3 linked regions of the Stegostoma tigrinum genome follow. The main gene of each other region encodes a partner of the protein of the gene in region 3 in a complex. Links are inferred from orthologs where the notes say so. Each region holds a gene or a part of one and is shown on either strand. Other genes may lie near its edges. The genes, in order: frmpd4, protein inscuteable homolog and gpsm2.

Region 1 (7,699 bases), on a different chromosome or scaffold from region 3:
ATAAAGCTGGAATTTCCAAAAAGAAAAATTAGTCCTCATCAGGGCAAGGGACAGAAATCACAGATCATGATGCTTCTGTTGGCACACTTTGAAATCGGGCACATCCAATCTGCCCATGACCTGGGCACAGTAGAGCCACTTCCACCTGAGTACATCCATCCCACTCCTTGATCACAAATACAATAGGTGACCAAGAGCACCAAGCCTCTGCATTTGGCACCAATGTCGCTCTACGTGTGTGGGCCTCAATAACAATGATCATGAAGCCATTGGTGATTGTGATTAGTGGCCAGATGAGTTTTCAATGACTGCCATTAGAAGGAAATCAGCTGTTCTTGTCCAATCTGGCTGCATGTGTCTCCAGATTCCCAGCAGTTTTTCAGATTCCCAAAAGCCCTCTGAAATGGCCTAGTAACTCGCTCAGTTGTAATGTATCACCACAAAGTCAAAATGAATAAAACAAAGTGAGACCACCAAACATTGACAAAGGCATTGTAAATGAGAGTAACAAATCCACCTCAGGCTTGTGCCAAGTTCAACAGAGCATTACCACAATTGACTTAAAGCAACAATCTGAGATGTGCATTGAATCACTGACAATCGTTGAAATACCAAGCCCCAGACTCAACCACAGCCAAATCTGTGTATGTTCTGAACTAGTGTCAGCAAGTAGCCAAACACCATGAATCTCACAGCATCAAGTCAAATATGGGCAAGGTAACATCCTGCTGATAACCACTGACTAACCCCTGTCAGCTGGTGAACCAGTACTTTTTCATGTTGAATACAATTTGGAAAGAAGCACTGAGACTGGGCATGCTCCAGAATGTACTCTGCTTGTGGCTTTAAGAGGTGTGTTTTGTCCTGGTTTCTTTTAGACAGAAGTTGCAGGAATAGGTGTTAAGCAGTCAGTGGCGTTAAACAATTTGTGAAGCGTTGGGTGTTCTCCAAAAGTTGGAACAATAGAAGTACACGCCGTCGAGACATACATGCCCAGGATTTTGCAGGTTTTGCTTTATTTAGTAGGTGTGAACTGAAATTGTGGAAGGAAAAGACGTCTCTCTCTGGGGCGCTGCTGCATGTAGCTCTTTCTTGCTGATAGGATTGAATGTGAGACAATCTGTCTTCTGAATTTGCATTTTGTTAAGGGTGTGTTTATGGGGTATTACTATAATGGAACAGGTAATTATTAATAGTTACTGTATCTACTGTTCTGTTAAATTTTCTAGGAGAGTTGTTGATCCAATTCGTCCTCTCTCGTGTATTTTTACTATAGTGCATGAATAAAGGGTGTTCTATTTTAAATCTGGTGGTTTAACCAATCAAATTGCATCTGGAATGAACACCTTACATTTACCTTTAAAATAAGAAAAAGCTAGGGTCTTAACTACCTTCTGAATAGTTAGAAGGAGGTTTTGGTCTGATCCTTAACTTAGTGGCTCCACTATTGACTAGGCTTTGAGTTCTGAAGGTCATAGAAGCTAGACTGCATTTACAGCAAGTGGTAGGTGAATTAACAAGGAGAAAGAAAAATCCTACCTGGCCTCATTAACATGGCTAAAACTGTTTCAGATGCATGGGCCATTGATAGAATTGGTATGACGCCCATCATGCAATCTGTCTGGGCATAAAGCCCATCTTCACATTTTGGATACTCTTCATTGTGTTGTGCCATGCTAACTGGGACAGACTTTCAACAGATCTTGACAGTTCAAAGCAGTACATCTGTGAAACGTGATGAGCCATCAGCAGAGTTCAATCACAATTCCATGGCCCAGCATATTCCTTAATCTACTGTTACCATCAAATTGAGGATTAACTCTGGTTCAAAAAAGACTGATTGAGGCCTTGTCAGAAATAGCACCAGGCATACCTGAAAACAAAGTATAAACCTGGTGGGAATCTGAAACAGAATTACTTATTTGCCAATGAACAGAAGCAGACGTAAGTCATCCAAATGGTCAGATTTAAAATTTGCAGTTCTCCCACAACTAGGTGTGAACAGGGATGGGCAATTTTCTAAGTAACAGAGGATAAGGCTCTACTCCTCAACTGTGGAACAAGGCTGAAGAACTTTGCATCTACCTTCAGCCAGAAGAGCAATGTGGATGATTCATGATGAATGGACTAATGTATCAAATTGGTCCCAATAAAATTACAAAGTGTGTGTATTCACCACACAACTTGAGAGAAACTGGAAGCAGACTTCCAGGTGAGTTTTAATATGTGGTTGCCCAAACATCAGTTGATCCAAAAATAACTGGCCATAGTTAATGATCCAGAGTAATTCTATCTGTTGTAAATTGGCAGCAATCTCAGGTTAAAGCACAGACATGTTCAGTGGCAGGCACGGTTGTTTACACATGTAAAAAAATCCTGGCAGAGGTCCTGCATCAGTAGTGCAGCGGCTAATTGATGAATTCTTAATGTAACCCACACAATAAGGACTAACATAGGAAGGTCAATGAAAAATCAGGAAGCCAGGCATGTTCACTGAAAATTACTCCCATTAATTTTTCCAGTTTTGACAGTCTGGCCTCCAATCCTGGAGGAATGTGCATTGACATTAATTGGTCACTGACTGATTCATTTCAGGAGCAAAAATAAAAGGTTGAGTTTCTGACTATACAGGGAGTTGTACAGTGGAGGGAAAGGAACCTAGCTTTCCCATGTGGGTTAATTCTGGTCTCTGTAATGTATTTTCTCGGAGAACTGCAACTCCATTTCTATCCCAAACTTCGTCTAACTGGAGAATGATATGTAATCCCAAGTGGTGTTCCTGTGATTGGAGGAATATTGTACTTGTGGAATATAAATGCTCATAGGAATTAATATAGTAGCTTTGTAGAAGATCAGACGCTTGCAGAATTGGCTGCGATCCTGGCTGAAAATGGTCGGGTCAGCCATAATCTCACTGAATAATGAAACAGACTCAATGGGTCTATTGCCTGCTTCTGCATCTAATGGCCTTATTAAACCAGAGAGTTTATATAAATGGACCTTTGACCCATCAGTAGAATATGATCAGTATAGTCCCACAAGTGTTTGTGCTGGGCCCTCAACTTTTTAAAACCTGTATCAATGATGGGAGCAATGGCATAGTAGCTAAATACAAAGATCACCATATGATAGTTGGGAAGTATGTTGTGAAGAAGACGTGAGGTTGTGGTTGGATATAGGTAGGATGAGTAAGTGTACAAAAATCTGGTGATGCAGTATAATGAGGGCAAATATTAAGTTCATTTTGGCAAGAACAGTTAAAATATAAACAATTAAATGGAGAATGATTGCAGAATTCCAAGGCTCAGAGGAACTTGGGTGTTCTTGTGTATGAGTCAATGGTATGTGGGAACAGCATGCAGTCAAGAAGGCTGATGCTATCCTTTGTTATGAGAGGAATTGAACGTAATAGTGAGGATGTTGTGCTTTAGTTGCACAGGGTATTGGTGACGTGCAGTATTGCTAACCTTAATTAGGCAGGGAAGCAACTGCATTGGAGGCAGTTCAGGGAAAAATTATTAGCTTGAATGATGGAATGAGTGGATTGAGAATAGGTTGGGCAGTGACTGGACTTGTTTCTATTGGAGTTTGAAAGAGTGAGGGGTGATATGAATGAAGTGTATAGAATCCCGAATGGTGTAGACAAGTGGCCAATGGAAAGAATGTGACCTTTTGTGAGGCAGTTTTAAAATTGGGGGCACCCTTTTTGGATAAGGCTGCGGAGAGATTCCTTTTCTCTCAGGGTTGTGTGGCTTTGGAATTCTTGGCATCTGAGGAGAATGGAGGTGGGCTTGTTGAATAAAATCAAGGTGGAGGTAGACAGATTCTTGTTAGTCAAGGGAATCAAAATTTATCAGGGAATGTAAAATTTGAAAAAAAAACATGGATCAGCCATGATCTTATTGGATAGAAGTTAGCTGGAGGGGCTCATATTGGCTCCTTTTCTTTGTTCATCACACACTTACGATCTTGCAGACATTTGGCATCCTTTAATTGCAGCAACATATTTAATATACATTGAGATGGTATGCCAGTCTTTGAGAATTCTGAGGTATCTTAAATCCTCTGTTTGTGAGATAACAACTTTTAGAAACTTAGAACAGGTGTCAGCCCGGGTAATGAAGAAAACAAAACTTTTGACAGTGACTGGTCATTTCAACCAAGTTTTTAAAATGAAGAAAGGATTTGAATTTAGCAATGTTTAATATAAAACAATTGTAAGCTGCTTCTGTTTAACGTAAATAAAGATTTGAACCTTCCGGTGCACTGTGTACCCTTTTGTATGAAGTTACCTTGAGAATTAGTTTTATAGAAAGATAACTAGGTTTCTGTCTAGGCAAGATTGATGTTTAATTAAATCTTTATCACCGTGTTTTCTTTAACTATCCTTTTGTTGCAATGTTTCGTTATTTTTCTCGGAACTCATGAATCTGTCAATTAAATTGTAAAGGTCAAATTGCCATTGTGTACTCGCAGAGAAATATTCTGACTTGTGCTCACCAAGCAGCAGGATCTATTCATATGCAGTTTCCACAACAACTCTCGAGGGTTAAGTGTAGTGGGAAATATGTAGTTTTGCAGACGGGAAACAGTCGCTGAAGTGAGGGAAGAACTTAAGCGAGCATCATGTTCCCGTGCATTTTAACAGGCGAGAGCCTGTACAGGTCGGAGTCAGAATGATAGCGCACCTGTCTAAAGCGAGCTGTTTTCCTTTCGAGCACTAGGTTTTATTTTGCTTCTTCTGCGGCGTTTGCCTCCCCCTACACCCCTTCCCCCTCCAAAAAAAAGATTTTGCTTTAATTTGTCATCAAGTGTTGGCTGTGATTGGAGCAAACCCGAGAGGAGACAAGCAAGCAGCAGGAGTGATTTTGCGTGCATCCTCGGAGTTGCTGCCTGCCTCGGAGACTCCCACTCCCAGTGGCTTGCCATTTGACTGAGGGGCTAAGAGGGGTCAGTGGGAGCATGCCAATTGGTGGCGGGGGAATGTGAGCACTGAACGCCGGATCTCTCAGGGAGAGCCAATGTTACCTCAAGCCGGAGTGGATGGACCCGTGAATCTCGGAGCAGGAGGAAAGGGAAGCCGTTCCTCTCCATGTAGCCCCAGTCGATTTGAATAAGGATACATTATGGAGCTGGAGTGAGGACACAAGAGCTTTCTGCATGCATGGATGTGTTTAGCTTTGTGAAGATCGCAAAGCTGTCAAGGTAAGCGTGCCTCATACATCCTCTGAATATTGTCCACTGCTCATTAGCGACTGCAAGCTCCCCGTCCCGTGGAATCCGCTCGATTGGATGTACAGCCACAACAGGGACAGCCGTGAAGACACGATGCATCATTTTTAGGAGCAGCAGCATTTTTACTCCCTATGACTAACGCTGTCTTAGTGTAATGGTTACAGGCAGATAGGTTGTCGAGCTTCGGGGATAATAGAGATGCAGTGAAAAGGGTGTGTAAGTGGGAAAAGAATTATAGCTTGGTGGAAAATTGGAGAATGATTTCATTACATTTTACTAGTGGCCAATTTCGATCTTTAGAAGTCTTGAAGCCGGTGTTTGATGGCTTATTAACAGTAACACTTCGATGTCTTCCCAACTGTGGGAGAATATTGAATCTTTTTTTTCCAGTGTGCTGAATATTACGTGGGGGGTGGGGGGGGGGGGGGAACAGAACGATAAATCAACTGTCCTTTATCGCTGATGCCCTGGTCGAAAAAAAGTTGAATTCATTTTTAGCGTCGCCAAAGCTACTTGTTTGATATGCTCCGGTGTTGAATAATGCTCAGATGGTCGTATTTGTGTCTGATGGGTACATGAGCAAATGTCAGTTTTAATTCGGCTGATGTTTCTGAGTCTGGCATTTATTTTGATGTAAACCAGCAGATATTCCTGACACTTTAATTGTTGGGTGCGAGGGAGTTTGGGCTCGCATTAAGCAATGGCACTGTGTGTCTGTGGATAATTCTCATTACCCCTCCTCTCTCAACAACATACAAACATTCTCTCCGCTGGTGTACACCCTACAAACAGGCACTCGTTTTAAAGAAATGTCACTGCACGCGCCTTTGCTGGATGATCTTTAGTTTACTGTTAATTATAATCTGTCAGAAATTCTTCAGGTTTGATCACGCAAATGAGAAGATACCTTCCAACGCCAGCTTTTCCCCTGCATTTCGATGTAATGGGTTTCACTGTAGGGATCAACTTTGTCTCTCAAATTATATTAAGTGACTTCGTAAAACGGCAAATTCACAACTTATGGATATTTTAAAATAACAATGAAAAATACACGTTGCATGGTATTTCTTAGGCAGGAAGGATATGAAAAATAAATCGACTAATCAAGTTTTCAGTTATTGTGAATCATTTGAATCTGCTTTGGAATTCTCTGAGCACTGAACATATGCAATTCTATGGAAAATCTCTGTCTGCAACTTTCCAACACTTAAGTTCCTGAAGTAGAATTAAACAAATGTGAAGTACAGTTTACTCACTGGGCACATGAAGACCTGGGTATTATCAGTATTTGTTACTATTGGGATCTGTCCACCAGTCTGCAGAACATATGGTTCATGACCAAAATATTGTTTTGTATTGCAATACATGAAAGAATAGAAAAATATTTGCTTGTTTGTACAAAGAAACCTCGATGGATTCCTGGAAGGAAGGAAATACATTTACATCGAGATTTTAAAAAAGCCCTCACAAATCCTGAAGATTTGAAATATGTGATTAAGGAAAGCAATAAATGTTGCAAAATAACAGATTGTTGGCTTAGAATCTACATGAGACAAGATAGGTTTGTGTTTCTGATAAGGCCTTTCAACATGACATGAAAGTTAATCAGTCTTCCTTCAATGCTGATTAATTTCCCATGTGCTTTCAAAATTTGCTCTTTTGTTATCTAACTGAGAATATAGTGAAGTCTTAAGTTCTTGCTGTCACCTTGAAACTGCTTACTGATAGAATCAGTTGTAAATGATTATACACCATAAACTTGATTGGGTGGTGTTATTCAGTTTTGAGGTCTAATAACAGTCGCTATGCGCTCCATGCTTTCAGAGCTGAGGCATTCGTATTGACTGAGAAACCGTTACGACACTAAGTTTGTCAAAAATCAATACCTGAAAAATTTAATAACTTTGTATGTTTTAGAAAATCTGCGTTCTGCTGTACAGTTCTGCATTAAGAAAATAATCCTTCAAATTAATAGAATTCACAGAAGAATTGCAAAGGAAATGGCAGTATCAATTTTCCAAATTGGTTGCAATTTATACCAAATAGCTTTACCCAAAGACAGTTACGGGCACTATTTTTCAGTGGTGATCTTCACAATTGTATGTCATTTTAGTGCACTGGGACATATGCAAACAACACACCTGTGGCAGAAATAGCAAATGTCATACGAGTGAAACGTAAAGCATGTGGTGGTCAATAAGAAACCTTGGATTGGGAAATGACAACACCTCTGGCTTTAGGAAAGCATTTCAATCTGTCCACAGATCTTGAAAGGGAAGAGATGAAAAACGTGAAGGCTCTGGAAATCCAACGTGCAATCTCGAGACTGCAGCCATTTCATAATACAGTCCAACTCTTTTCCCAGTTTTTATGATTGCTCATGTTCAGGTGATGCTGCATGAGTGCAAGGAGGGTGGTTCTGTTCCTATATAACAGTACAATTCCACTAAATAAGCATTGCAAG
Region 2 (6,954 bases), on a different chromosome or scaffold from region 3:
AGTTGCTTTTTGGAATAGAGGGTTATGGCTTGTGGTGTTCCACAGGGATTAGTACTGGGACCTCTGTTTTTCGTGATCTACACAAATGATTTGGAGGCAAATGTAACTGGTCAAATTAGTAAATTTTCACACAATACAAAGATTCATGGAATTATGGATAGTGAGGAGGGTTGTCAGAAGAATAGCAGGATAAAAGTCAATTGGAGGCACAGGCAGTAAAATGGCAGATGGAGTTTAATCCGAACAAATGTGAGGTGGTGCATTTTGGAAAGTCACACACAGGTGGAAATTATACAGTGAATGGCAGAAGCCTTAGGAATATTGATATGCAGAGAGATCTAGGTGTTGAATTCCACAGATCACTGAAGTAGCAGCACAGGTAGATAAGTTACTAAAAAACGTATATGCTTTGCTTGCCTTCATTGGAAGGGGCAAGGACAGGCAAGTTATGCTGCAGCTTTATAGAACCTTAGTTCGGCTATACTTGGAACATCGTGTACAGTTCAGCTCACCACACTGCCAGAAGGATGTAGATGCTTTGGAGAGGGTACAGAAAAGACTTACCAGGATGTTGCCTGGTAAGGGGGATTTTAGCTATGAAGAAAGATTGGACGGACTGGGTTAGTTTTCAGCGGAATGCAGGAGGCTGAGGGGCAACCTGAGGAAATTCATAGGGTTGTGAATGGCATGGATAGAGTGGAAAGTATGAACTTTTTTTCCAGGGTGGAGAGGTCAATTACTAGGGGACACAGACTCAAGGTGCAGGGGGGAAGTTTGAAAGAGATGTGCGAGGCACATTTTAAACACAAAGGGTAACGAGTGCCTGGAACGTGTTGCTAGAGGGGTGGTGGAAACAGACACAGTCAAGAAGCACCTGAATGAATACACGAATAGGAAGGGAAGAGCGGGATACAGATCCTGGAAGTGAAGACAGTTTTAATATGGAAAGGCAATATGTGTTGACGCAGGCTTGGAGGGCTGAAGGGCCTGTTCCTGTGCTGTATTGTTCTTTTTTATCTTCGCTCTTCATATTTCCTAAAGGTGAATGGCATTTGACATATAATGATAGCTTTATACCATTGATCATCCAATAGTCTGGCAGAAAGAGCAGTCTAAATTTTGAAGGCAGGCCGAAGGAAGCAGCCTACAGCTTCACTGGATACCAAACTGTCCAGTCCCTATTTGACTATGGATTACCCCTCATTCAGCTTTAGGAATAGCTCCCAGCAGAGAAGGCTCCATACCTGGTTAAATTGGATCTTCCTGGAATTTGGCGGGGGGGGGGGGGGTAAGATGAAACTGTATACTAATGCTGGAGGCAAGAATCCGTCAAGTGCGAGAGACAGTTTACTTCGAGGGATGGAGTTTTATATAGGAATCACCGGAATGGTGCTGCACGGGTAAGAGGCTTGGTCGATGCAAGTTCAGATCTCGTGACATATAAAGTTTGGGTTTCTGAACGAGCACATGGACCAAATGAAAGCTGCAAACTCACAAACGGTGTAGGAGCAAAAGGTGCCCGACTCCTTGGAACAGTTGGAAAGGCTGTTGAAACCCATAGGTTCTCCCTGTCCATCAAGCGTTGAAGATACTCAGAATCTGAGATGGCCATGTTGAATGTTGCGGCCTCAATGACTTTGCAGCCTGAAGAAGAGAAAGATTTCCTTTCAAGGCGCTCTGGGCACAAGAGGCAAGCTTCTGTGCATTATACACCACACATATCTGAGACAGAGTTGGAGGACACTGATCCAATGCTAAAATGCCTCAGGAGGAGCTACAGATAAAAACACTTGTGTACATCCTCTAGCGCGGAGGGGAGGGTTGTAGTGATTGTAACAAGACCAGCCAGGTGGAACTCATAGAATATGAGTTCCCTGATTCAGGCTGTTAATCTGGTCCAATGACAGAGCCCTGATGAAAGATATAAACAGGACTATCAGATATTTTCTGAAGAAGGGTCTAGGCCCGAAACGTCAGTTTTCCTGCTCCTCTGACAGTGGTTGGCCTGCTGTGTTCATCCAGCTCTACACCTTGTTATCTTATCTTCTATCAGATATCCTGTTCACACTGAGAGTGGCACTGAGGAAGCTGGATCAGTGTGAATGGCTCTCCACTTGTAAATAAAGGGTGACTTGCTGACAGGATACTGCCCTCTGTGGAGTTATTTCAATGGCCATTTGAAAGGTCAAAAAATCAAACTTTTTTTTATAAATTGTATTTGGAATATGAGCATCACTGGAAAATGTTTTGTCCATTCTTCATTGCCGTGAACAGGTGATTGTGCATCTGAATTTCCAGTATACGTTTAGATTAGATTAGATTAGATTCCCTACAGTGTGGAAGCAGGCCCTTCGGCCCAACAAGTCCACACCGCCCCTTAGAGCATCCCACGCAGGGTCATCCTCATCCCCCGAGAACCCACACACCCCTGAACGCTATGGGCAATTTAGCATGGCCTATCCACCTAGCCTGCACATCTTTGGACTGTGGGAGGAAACTGGAGCACCCGGAGGAAACCCACGCAGACACGGGGAGAATGTGCAAACTCCACACAGACAGTTACACAAGGCTGGAATCGTACCCTGGTCCCTGACGCTGTGAGGCTGCAGTGCTAACCACTGAGCCACCGTTCTGACAAATGAGATGTGCCGACTAAAATGCAATGCTGATGACCCTTCACGATTAAGTAAGTGTAGGGCTTAATTTCACTGGTACCACTAAATTAAATAATTGACCTTCGTCCAGTTCTCTGAAGTATTCGGAAAAACATCAATAAGTTTTCATGAGCAGTGTTTAATCTAACTTTGGAAATTGTGAGACAGGAAAACATTCACAAATTTCTGTGGAAAACTTGAACAGACATCAATTCACAACTGACAACATTGTAACTTCAAGAGTAAGTACCTGACTTCAAAATAACATTCCAGGAATAGTCGAACTGCTCAACCTCTGTGCACAAAAATCAAGATGAAAGCAATGTCTCAGAGAATAATGTGTGTTTGTGGATATGGTTTTGTGTTTCTTTAATTGAGATTTCTAATATTAAAGCATATTACCTCAGATGTTAGAAATCTGAAATAAAGTCAGAATGTGCTGGAGAAAGTCAGCAAGTCTGGTAACATCTGTGAAGAGAGAACCAGAGTTAATGTTTTCAGTCTGATATGACTTCTCCAGATCAAAAGGAGAGTCATATTGGACTCAAACCATCAACTGTTCTACTGTCCTCAAATGCTTACAGAGCTGCTGAGTTTCTCCAGCAATTTCTGCTTTTATTTCCATCATTCATCTTTGTACAGTTTGGATTTGTTTCTTGTGGTAAAACATTACTGAACATATCTTCATATTCCTTTTCAAAGTATTTCCTGGAATATCGTTTTTTTTGTACAAAGGTTTCTTTCAACATAATTATGCGGAAACATAACCTCGTGACATATTAATGCAGTTGAATTCTCTATTTTGAAGTTGTAAAACTCATTAAATAATCTAATCTTCTGAATGCACCCGCTGTTAACCAACACCTATAACTATCTAGGATTTCATGGGAAAATCTTTTTGAACTTTTCTGCTATAACAGCAGACACAAATAGAATGGTTCTCTGTCTGTTTGGACTGAAGCCCAGTTAAAGCTATGCACTGTTTCTCTGACAGGATGATGTGGTCTCTTATCCAAAACAAAAAATCTGAGTCTCGGCTAGAGTGCAGAGGCACTTCAGTGGGAAGAGAATAAATAAAATTGATGTAGTGGTTGGTGAAAATTTGAAGTCCTCACATCCCTTCAGAAGCCTGAAACGAGTTTTATTTCCAGATGAAACTTGTCTTCTTTCTTAGTTTGCACAGGCTTTTGTTTCGTTGGGAAAGCAAACAGCAGGGGTATTTCAGAGGAGGTGTGGGAGCACAGACAACCGCAAAGAACTCTGATTCAGTTCTGAATTTTAATTTATTCCTGGGTAAGTTTGTTTTTGGGGAGGACTGTTTACTGCACGGTTGGTTTTTCTGTTATGTTCGCATTGTCATGTCAAATCAACTGGTGTCTTTGCATACAATGTTGTATTCTATCAGTTAATACATCATGCATGCCATAGACAAAAGAAAATTTCCTCCCTGAGAAAGTTGGTTATAATTTTAGAGCATTCGTAATCCAAAATTCTTTCTGTAGTATGAGATAACACGGTGTGAAGCTGGATGAACACAGCAGGCCAAGCAGCTTCAGAGGAGCATAAAAGTTTGATGTTTCGGGTCGAGGCCTCTCACCCTATCTTCTCCTTTATCCATCTTCTATCCTCCTCCCCCTGTCTACCTATTTATTTCAGAATTCCCTTCCCCTCCCCCATTTCTGAAGAAGCGTCTCGACCTGAAACGTCAAACTTTCCTGCTCCTCTGATGCTGCTTGGCCTGCTGTGTTCATCCAGCTTCACACCATGTTATCTCAGATTCTCCAGCATCGGCAGTTCCTACTATTTACTTTCTGTAGTGTGTTTGTTTTGTGACAGAACATTGGTTATTTCCAGTTATTAATTCCCCCTTAGAGTTGGTGGGCTGGGGGCAGGAGGGGGCATCCGTACATTTCCATTGCATTGTATATGGTAACTTGTAATATTGGGAGAATCTTCTGGTAGTGGTGAGGTTGTTAATTGGAGCGATGTCATCCTGCAAATTTCTCCAGGCTGTCCAGGAAGGGCACAAGGTCCTGTTTCCCAGGGACAGCAGCAGGAGGTCATCCCATCAGACGCAGGCCCAGGCTGAGTTAGCAGTGCTTGTCAGCACCAGCTTGGCATACAAAAGTACCAAGGTCCCAAACTGAAAAAGGAAGAATGATCTGCTGCAATTGACACACATGTATAATGTGTAATCATTGGAAAGTGACACTTGAAAGAAAATCAAATTGTGTAATGTGCGAGTGCAGAGAGCTGTCAGACATGAATTTGTGTTTCAAGCATAGGCATTAGGTGGAATTTGCAGGCTGAATGTGTGGTAGTCAGTTCATGCTGTGAATTTTGTATAAAATACATGGCAGTGTGGGTATCAAACAATAATTGGAGAGGGATCTAGAACTCGTAGACATGCATACCTATAAAGTATTTATGAATGCTTTTTTTATTCACTTGTGGAGTGTGGGTGTTACAGGCTGGTAAGAATTTATTGCCTATTCTTAGTTGCCCTTAAGAATGTGGTGTTGAGCTGTTTTCTGAACCTCCGCAGCTCTGTGCTACGGGTTGACTCACAAAGTCCTTAGCAAGGGAGTTCCAGAATTTTGACCAAGTGACAGTGAAGGAATGATAATATATTTCCAATATATTGGGATTGCCTGTCTGCTGAAGAAAAGGGTTCATAACTGGAGTACAAGACTGGAGGAGAGCCAAATGATTTAAGGATCCTAGCCCACTTTGAAGAGGAGGCCATTGAATGCGCTGGTGGGCACAGGACTGTGCATGTGGCAATAGAGAGACCTGAATCTGACAGTAACACAGTGAGGATGCCTCCAGTCGCTATTGGAGCACGAATAACTGGACATCCTTTACGAATGTTCAATCTATGCGCATTAACACTTACAAATGTGTTCCCATGCAGTGGTGTGCTAATAATAATTTTAAAGATCTGGCATACGAAGAATTCCTCATACTCACAATCAGCTATGTTACATTATTTGCATTGTGTGCTGACATGTGTACAAATTGATGAATGGACTCAAGGATGGAACCTGTTCACAACCTGGAAACTGCCTGTATCATTGCCTAATGTCTGAAATCTTATCGAGAAAAGGAACTGTGTATAGAAATTAACTCATTCTTTTTGTTTTTGTATCAATGCCAAATTACAAATGCCTGAATCATCCAATGGAGTTAGTGTCTGGGCTTGTATGTGTCAAGGGCCTACAATGTTTTCCCCTACTGGTACCCAAGCTGGCGGGAATGTGTAGTGTTATGCAGAAGTAATGTCCTGGTCCTGCTAGCGTAGACACTACAATGTTGCCTGAGCAGCAGATTTAGCATAAGTGAGATGTGCAATATTTCAAATTGGCATGTACATAGTAGCACAGTATTAGCAATGTCATGGCATTAATGTAAATTTAAACATAACGTGAAATACCCATCGAAGCAAAAGCATAACACAATGAAGCCAGAATGCATGTGCCCACAAGAGAAGGTCAGGCTCCCAGCCAACAGAGAATGATAACCCATTGTGGTGGTGTGATGCCTCACTTGAGCTGGAGGCTGGTACTGACGAGGTTATCACTAGTCTGTCTACAACACCATTAATGTGATACCTGCCATGTCCATTCCCTCCCAGCAGCATCATCTTCACCTTCTTCCTGTCAGAGGAGGTATCTGGCACCTTTAACCTCAGAAAATTCTTCCTCGCTTAGCTGAGTGAAGTTGCATCGGCTACAGCAGACCACAAAAATCCTGCGCAATCTTTCAGGTGGGTGCTAAACTACTCCACCTGAACAGCCCCAGCGGTGGAACCTCATCTTTAGCAGTCCAATAGCTTGTACATTTTTGCCTTTATCAAGGTATTGGAGAGGGAGGAGTTGACATCAGGTGATTTATGGCCTGGAGTGGCGGTAATCAATGTTGTATATTGACCTTGTATTGTGGAAACATCCCTCCCCCTCCAGGCTTCACATTCAAGTCAATTACTTATTCTCTTTGTTGTACGCAATCCTTGGTCTGGTATCTTGCAAACGTTGCTCCTGATGTGGTCTCCTCTATATTGGGGAGACCAAATGTAGACTTGGGGACTGGTTCACGGAGCACCTGTGATCTGCAAGCACCAACCAACCCGATCTTCTGATTGCCATCCATTTTAATTCCCCCTCCCACTCCCCTGGCGATATGTCCATCCTTGGCTTCCTCTACTGTCAGAGTGAGGCCAAATGTAAACTGAAGGAACAACACCTGATATTTCACCTTGGAAGCTTACACCCTAATGCCTTAACACTGATGTCACCAGCTT
Region 3 (8,034 bases):
AACACAAGTCCTCCTCCTGGACACCACCCCCAGGCCTCCTACCCTCCCTCGACCTCTTCATCTCCAACTGCCGTCGAGACATTAACCGCCTCAACCTCTCCACCCCTCTCACCCACTCCAACCTCTCCCCCGCAGAACGGGCAGCCCTCCGCTCCCTCCGCTCCAACCCCAACCTCACCATCAAACCCGCAGACAAGGGTGGCGCAGTGGTAGTATGGCGCACTGACCTCTACATCGCCGAGGCCAGACGCCAACTCTCCGACACCACCTCCTACCGCCTCCTCGATCATGACCCCACACCCGAGCACCAAACCATCATCTCCAACACCATTCACGACTTCATCACCACAGGGGACCTCCCACCCACAGCCTCCAACCTCATTGTTCCCCAACCCCGCACGGCCCGTTTCTATCTCCTTCCCAAAATCCACAAACCTGCCTGCCCTGGTCGACCCATCGTCTCAGCCTGCTCCTGCCCCACCAAACTCATCTCCACCTATCTGGACTCCATTTTCTCCCCTTTGGTCCAGGAACTCCCCACCTACGTCCGTGACACCACCCACGCCCTCCACCTCCTCCAGGACTTCCAATTCCCTGGCCCCCAACACCTCATATTCACCATGGACGTCCAGTCCCTGTACACCTGCATTCCGCATGGAGATGGCCTCAAGGCCCTCCGCTTCTTCCTGTCCCGCAGGCCCGACCAGTCCCCCTCCACCGACACTCTCATCCGCCTAGCTGAACTCGTCCTCACACTCAACAACTTCTCTTTTGACTCCTCCCACTTCCTACAGACTAAGGGGGTGGCCATGGGCACCCGCATGGGCCCCAGCTATGCCTGCCTCTTTGTAGGTTACGTGGAACAGTCCCTCTTCTGCACCTACAGGGGCCCCAAACCCCACCTCTTCCTCCGGTACATTGATGACTGTATCGGCGCCGCCTCTTGCTCCCCAGAGGAGCTCGAACAGTTCATCCACTTCACCAACACCTTCCACCCCAACCTTCAGTTCACCTGGGCCATCTCCAGCACATCCCTCACCTTCCTGGACCTCTCAGTCTCCATCTCAGGCAACCAGCTTGTAACTGATGTCCATTTCAAGCCCACCGACTCCCACAGCTACCTAGAATACACCTCCTCCCACCCACCCTCCTGCAAAAATTCCATCCCCTATTCCCAATTCTTCCGCCTCCGCCGCATCTGCTCCCACGATAAGACATTCCACTCCCGCACATCCCAGATGTCCAAGTTCTTCAAGGACCGCAACTTTCCCCCCACAGTGATCGAGAACGCCCTTGACCGCGTCTCCCGTATTTCCCGCAACACATCCCTCACACCCCGCCCCCGCCACAACCGCCCCAAGAGGATCCCCCTCGTTCTCACACACCACCCTACCAACCTCCGGATACAACGCATTATCCTCCGACACTTCCGCCATTTACAATCCGACCCCACCACCCAAGACATTTTTCCATCCCCTCCCCTGTCAGCTTTCCGGAGAGACCACTCTCTCCGTGACTCCCTTGTTCGCTCCACACTGCCCTCCAACCCCACCATACCCGGCACCTTCCCCTGCAACCGCAGGAAATGCTACACTTGTCCCCACACCTCCTCCCTCACCCCCATCCCAGGCCCCAAGATGACATTCCACATTCAGCAGAGGTTCACCTGCACATCTGCCAATGTGGTATACTGCATCCACTGTACCCGGTGCGGCTTCCTCTACATTGGGGAAACCAAGCGGAGGCTTGGGGACCGCTTTGCAGAACACCTCCGCTCAGTTCGCAACAAACAACTGCACCTCCCAGTCGCAAACCATTTCCACTCCCCCTCCCATTCTCTAGATGACATGTCCATCATGGGCCTCCTGCAGTGCCACAATGATGCCACCCGAAGGTTGCAGGAACAGCAACTCATATTCCGCCTGGGAACCCTGCAGCCATATGGTATCAATGTGGACTTCACCAGTTTCAAAATCTCCCCTTCCCCTACTGCATCCCTAAACCAGCCCAGTTCTTCCCCCCCACCCACCCACTGCATCCCAAAACCAGTCCAACCTGTCTCTGCCTCCCTAACCGGTTCTTCCTCTCACCCATCCCTTCCTCCCACCCCAAGCCGCACCCCCAGCTACCTACTAACCTCATCCCACCTCCTTGACCTGTCCGTCTTCCCTGGACTGACCTATCCCCTCCCTACCTCCCCTATCCCCTCCCTACCTCCCCACCTACACTCTCTCCACCTATCTTCTTTACTCTCCATCTTCGGTCCGCCTCCCCCTCTCTCCCTATTTATTCCAGTTCCCTCTCCCCATCCCCCTCTCTGATGAAGGGTCTAGGCCCGAAACGTCAGCTTTTGTGCTCCTGAGATGCTGCTTGGCCTGCTGTGTTCATCCAGCCTCACATTTTATTATCTTGGAATTCTCCAGCATCTGCAGTTCCCATTATCTCTGAGAGTAAATGATTAAGGCAGGTCTTGGAATAGTGCCCATGTCACTAGATTAGTAACCTAAGGAAACCAGGTGAATGATGTTCTGATGCTGCTCTGCCCACCGCTGACACCGACGTTGCTCCACCCACCGCCTCCACAGCCAGCAGCTCCAGAGTATACACTAGCACCCAGCCCTGTTGGGTCTTCACCATCCCCCCCCCACAGACCTTCCCATCACCAAGGATGAATGGTCAGTCCTCCCTAAAGGACTCACCTTTATTCCCCTCCACCCTAACATCAAAGAATATTGCTCACGCTTGGAAGTTGAACAGGTTTTCTGCTGCCACTGCACTTGCTTCTTTAGTCGTGAGCCTAACAGTCCCTCTACTGAGCCCTTCTCCCGCCTCCAACACATCCCTTCCTCTTGGACACCACCCCAAGGCCTCCGACCATCCCTCGACTTCTTCATTTCCAACTGCCATCAAGACATCAATCACCTCAACTTCTCCACCCCTCTCACCCACTCCAACCTCTCCCCCACAGAATGTGCAGCCCTCCGCTCCAATTCCAACCTCACCATAAAACCCGCGAATAAGGGTGGTGCAGTTGTAGTATGGCGCACTGACCTCTACATCGCCGAGGCCAGGCACCTGCTCTCTGACACCTCCTTCTACCGCCCCCTTGATCATGACCCCACCCTATACCACCAAAACATCATCTCCAGACCATCCACAACCTCATCACCTCAAGTGACCTCCCACCCACAGCATCCAACCTCATTGTTCCCCAGCCCCACACCGCCTGTTTCTATCTCCTTCCCAAAATCCATAAACCTGACTGCCCTGGTTGACCCATCGTCTCTGCCTGCTCCTGTCCCACCAAACTTATCTCCACTTATCTCGCCTCCATTTTCTCCCCCCTGGTCCAGGAACTCCCCACCTATGTCAGTAACACCACCCTCGCCCTTCACCTCCTCCAAAACTTGCAATTCCCTGGTCCCCAACACCTCATCTTTGCCATGTACCTCCAGTCTCTATATTCTTGCATTCCCCATGCAGATGGCCTAAAGGCCCTCCACTTCTTCCTGTCCCTCAGGCCCAACCAGTGCCTCTCCAATGATACCCTTATCTGCTTAGCGGAACTCGTCCTCACCCTTAACAACCACTTCTTCAACTCCGCCCACTTCCTACAGACAAACAGGTGGCCATGGGTACCCACATGGGCCGAAGTTATGCCTGCCTCTTTGAGGAATACATGGAAGTCTGTCTTCCAGAGTTGCACTGGCCCCATACCCCACCTCTTCCTCCATTTTATCGCTGACTGTATTAGCGCCGCCTCATGCTCCCATGAGGAGCTCAAACAGTTCATCCACTTTACTAATACCTCCAACCCCAACCTTAAGTTCACCTAGACCATCTCCGATATCTCTCTCCTTCCTGGACCCCTCTGTTTTCATCTCTGGAAACCACTTGGAAACCGATATCTATTTAAAGCCTACCGATTCCCACAGCTACCTAGAATACCTCTCCCTCGCCTTCCTGAAACAATGTCAATCCCTATTCCCAATTCCTTTGTCTCCGCCCTATCCCGAGATGAGGCATTCCACTCCCGGATATCCCAGATGTCCTCATTTTTCAAGGACCACAACTTCCCCTCCACAGTGGTCGAAAACGCCCTCGACCACATCTTTCACATTTCCTGCAATGCATTCCTCACACCCCCTCCATGCAGTAACAACAAAAACAGAATCCCCCTCATCCTGACATACCACCCCACCAACCTCTGGATTCAATGCATCATCCTCTGCCACTTCTGCCACCTGCAATCTGACCCCACTACCAAGGACATTTCTCCCTCCCTACCCTTATCTGCCTTCCAGAGGGGCCGCTTTCTCCGTGACTCCCTTGTCCACTCCACACTCCCCACTGGCCCCATAACCCCGGCACCATTCCCACCATCCCTGCAACCGCAGGAAGTACTACACCTCCCCTCTCATCCCCATCCCAGGTCTCAAGAAAACCTTCCACATTAAACAGATGTTCACCTGCACATCTGCTGTACATCTATTATATGTGCGGTTCCCAATGTAGCCTCCTCTACATTGGGGAAACCAAGCAGAGGCTTGGAGACCGCTTTCTGGAACACGTATGCTTGGTTCGCGACAAACGACTGCACCTCCCACTTGCAAACCACTTCAAATCTGTCTCCCACTCCTTGGACAACATGTCCATCCTGGGCCTCCTCCAGTGCTACAACAATGCCACCTGAAGTTTGCAGGAACAACACCTCATATTTCGCTTGGGAACCCTGCAGTCCAATGGTCTCAATGTGGACTTCACAAGCTTCAAAATCTAACCCCCCCCCCAACCTCATCCCAAAACTAGCCCAGCTCGTCTGTCTTTTCTCCCACCTATCCTCTCCTCTCACCCCAATCCCCACCCTCACCCACCAGCCACATCCCCGCCTCCTTGACCTGTCCGTCTCCTCTCCACCTATCTGCACCTTTCATCCGCGTTCCCCTATCTCCCTATTTATTTCAGAGCCCCTCCCCCTTCCTATTTCTGAAGAAGGTCCAGACCTGAAACATCAGCTTTCCTGCTCGGCCTGCTGTCCTCATCCCGCTTTACACCTTGTTATCTCAGATTCTCCAGCATCGGCAGTTCCTACTATCTCTGAATGTTCTGAAGACGTGGGTTCAAGTGCCTCATGACAGGTAGTGAAATTTTAACTCAGTAAATATCTAAAATTATAGCCTAATGATCAGCCAAAGTGTAAAAATATCTATTTGGGTTGCCAATGTTCTTTTAGGATCCGCCATCCTTACCTTGTTTATTTTACACGTGACTGTAGAGTCACAGCAATATGGTTTGTTAGCCGTCTGGACAATTAGGGATGGGCAATGTATGCTAGAAACACACAATCCCAACAGTGTGAAAATGGGCTATTCGGCCCGTTGAGTCTACACTGACCGTCTGAAGAGCATACTACCCACACCCACCCGTGCAGACACGGGGAGAATGTGCAAAGCGTCACACAGTCACCCCAGGGTGGAATCGAACCCAGGTCCCTGGTGCTAACGCTGAGCGGCATGCCCCTAGTTAAAAAAAAGCAAGCAAACACATTTTTATTTTGTGATTGCGCTAGTTTAGGCAATGTTGTACAAATCGCATGAATGAAAAGAACAAGGAACTGTGTGTGATTTAAATCGTTACTTCACTGTGTCAGCGCTGGAAGGGTGGGTCGAAAGATGTCCAGCTGTGAGGTTCTTCGTGGTATAGGTGTTCCCAAATCCTGCCGCCGGGAATGGGGCGGGGAGCAGTTCTTTCGTCACCATAACAACCGCGACGTGTCCCCGCCCCCTTGCCCGAACGCTGATTCAAATTTCAGCCATTAGAAGCGCAGGGTTTGCTTATTTGCTTAATTTATGTAACGGCTGCCGATGCTGAGGCAGCTCGTGGAAGGTGCTGCGTAACTGTCGAAACTGGTGGAAATTCGACTGGCAGTGAGCAGTACTGGGAGGATTAAAATTCGGGGGAAAGAGGCACGCTGCTGCATCTTGGAGACTGAGTTTAGAAAGGATTGGATTTCCAGGTTAGCCACTTTGGAAGCACAGCGCCTTCTTTATTTATTAAGACAAAGCGAGTCTCGCTGCGCTTGAATGCGATCTGTCTTTAACATAACTTGTTGACTGAGTTTGATCGAAACACTCCAGTGTCCTGCCATCTCCAGGAGACAAGATTTGTCATACAGGTCAGTATCAAGAATGAGACGCTCTTTCTTCTTGTTTGGCTCTCTTGGTTGGTTTGAAATGCCCCTGTCTGCTCAAAAAGTGACAAATAAAAGGTACCCTAAATGCTAGTTAAGACTTCACCCTGGACTGTTGCCTACGTCGCTCTCCATTAAATTATCTAGATCAACGGCACTTGAAACGTCTTGGGTGTAATCTTTAATCGGATTGCTCCTTCGTGGCCCAATTTTGTATTGGGTATTCATTAGTGAACTGGAACTATAGGACGACCAACCGATAGGATTGTGGAGACAAATTGGAACTTGTCCTGTGTCTTTAAAATGAAAGAAATCAGATGCCTGTCATAAATTGATAGGATAGCCACAACTAGCGACAATGCCAGTACCTTGGCAAAATTAAGCATGTTATAATCCGAAGGAATATCTAGTAGTTCCAAGTACTTGTCGATTTGGGGTTGGCGACAATTTTGTAAGAATTTGAACATGGGTAAGCAATTAATAACTGAAAAGAAATTTTTGGACGTCAGTCAGTCTTTAAGCTTTTTATTAATGGGAAAATAAGCAGATGGATAGAAAGTATCATTTTCTTTCAGCTTAGGCAACAGAGGGCACATTATGTTCAGGAAATTGAAGTGTGACAGTTTGCACATCTGGTAAGAACGATTTCCCTCCCGAACCCCGCATTTAAATGGACAGAAATTGCGAATATATGGACAATTAGGCCGTCTATTAAGGATTGTTGCACCTCTTTGCCTGATTTCCTTGTATCTCCCCATCAAATACCTCACCAAAGCCTGAACAATCCAGTTGTTCCAAGTACAACAGTAAATTGTTATCAATTGTGATTTTTTTTAAGATAATCAAATGTGAGGCTGGATGAACACAGCAGGCCAAGCAGCATCTCAGGAGCCTTTTTGTGGAAATGCAATTTAAATGTAAATTGGAATCCTTGTATTCTTTTTGAATTTGCATATGAGGGATAGATCATCTTTATTCACTGTAAGGAATGAGATCTGTGTAAATGCTATCGTGATGCATCTTGGCTTTTATGACTTAGAACCCATGATTTTACTGTTTTGCTGTACTTTGTTTTCATCAAAGCTGTTTTCATTTTAAATCCAGGATTAGGTATCATGGATACAAACTGCTTTATAGTGTAATAAAGTGTGGAGCTGGATGAACACAGCAGGCCAAGCAGGATCTTAAGAGCACAAAAACTGATGTTTTGGGCCTAGACCCTTCATCAGAAAAGCTTTTCATCCAGTTCCACACTGTTATCTTGGATTCTCCAGCATCTGCGGTTCCTATTATCTCTGTTTTATAGTGTAGTTTCTTTCAGCAAATATAACCATGTGGAAAGTTTAAAGCGGAATAATACACTGCAGAACTGTTTTGCCGTCTTTCTGGTAAAACATCTTGCATTCACATAACTATTTGCAGGTTTTGCTTTTAAAGATTAGCATTTGCTGGCTAGTCTGAATTAAAATTGAAATTTATCATGCTACACAATTAAACATTATTCAGCAACATGATCTACAGTGTACAATAATTAAAATATGCCAAAGGACAACACATGGCAGCCACCAGTACTACATGCATATAACTAATCAAAAAGAGGTAACTTTTACTGACAAACTGAAGTCTCAAATTCAGTCATTAATTCCCGATTATTAAACAGAGGGAAAGCTTGATTTGACTCAATGTTAGAATAAGATTGGACAAGTAACCTATTAACTAATGACTAATCTTTCAAGCACTTGTTTGAGTTATTCAACAGTCTTCAAATATGCAAAAACAGTTGTCTTATTATACCCGCCTAAGATCAGAGGATGTTGGGCCGGGGGGGGGAAATAGCAAAATAG

Evidence for each region.
Region 1: the proteins of gpsm2 (region 3) and frmpd4 are in contact, whole or in part, in a crystal structure (PDB 4WND), measured with the Homo sapiens proteins. The link is inferred for Stegostoma tigrinum from reciprocal best matches to the Homo sapiens genes GPSM2 and FRMPD4. Residues at the interface, in NP_001307967.1 of Homo sapiens: Leu25, Ala28, Leu29, Glu32, Asp57, Lys59, Thr60, Ser62, Ala63, Ile64, Ser66, Gln67, Asn70, Phe73, Tyr74, His85, Asp88, Ala92, Gly100, Lys103, Asn107, Asn110, Thr111, Lys113, His128, Arg143, Tyr146, Asn147, Asn150, His153; in NP_055543.2 of Homo sapiens: Gln988, Leu989, Leu990, His991, Ser992, His994, Met995, Glu996, Met997, Glu998, Pro999, Glu1000, Thr1001, Met1002, Glu1003, Thr1004, Lys1005, Ser1006, Val1007, Thr1008, Asp1009, Tyr1010, Phe1011, Ser1012.
Region 2: the proteins of gpsm2 (region 3) and protein inscuteable homolog are in contact, whole or in part, in a crystal structure (PDB 3RO3), measured with the Mus musculus proteins. The link is inferred for Stegostoma tigrinum from reciprocal best matches to the Homo sapiens genes GPSM2 and INSC. Residues at the interface, in NP_083798.2 of Mus musculus: Asn210, Tyr213, Leu214, Phe218, Arg242, Ser246, Asn247, Asn250, Ile253, Phe254, Tyr265, Gln283, Tyr286, Ser287, Asn290, Thr291, Thr293, Leu294, Arg323, Trp326, Ser327, Asn330; in XP_006507722.1 of Mus musculus: Val72, Asp73, Ser74, Val75, Arg77, Trp78, Met79, Asp81, Leu82, Lys83, Leu84, Met85, Thr86, Glu87.

The regions. Positions count from the first base shown.
Region 1 is NC_081365.1:63,271,927-63,279,625, forward strand, and holds the start of frmpd4 (FERM and PDZ domain-containing protein 4), read left to right. Parts: upstream 1-4,658; 5' UTR 4,659-5,164; coding exon 5,165-5,205; intron 5,206-7,699. UniProt on the Homo sapiens protein: Positive regulator of dendritic spine morphogenesis and density. Required for the maintenance of excitatory synaptic transmission. Binds phosphatidylinositol 4,5-bisphosphate.
Region 2 is NC_081370.1:31,159,073-31,166,026, forward strand, and holds the start of protein inscuteable homolog, read left to right. Parts: upstream 1-3,899; 5' UTR 3,900-3,947; intron 3,948-6,954. UniProt on the Homo sapiens protein: May function as an adapter linking the Par3 complex to the GPSM1/GPSM2 complex. Involved in spindle orientation during mitosis. May regulate cell proliferation and differentiation in the developing nervous system.
Region 3 is NC_081361.1:39,760,356-39,768,389, reverse strand, and holds the start of gpsm2 (G-protein-signaling modulator 2), read left to right. Parts: upstream 1-5,033; 5' UTR 5,034-5,138; intron 5,139-5,868; exon of another isoform or gene 5,869-6,175; intron 6,176-8,034. UniProt on the Homo sapiens protein: Plays an important role in mitotic spindle pole organization via its interaction with NUMA1. Required for cortical dynein-dynactin complex recruitment during metaphase. Plays a role in metaphase spindle orientation.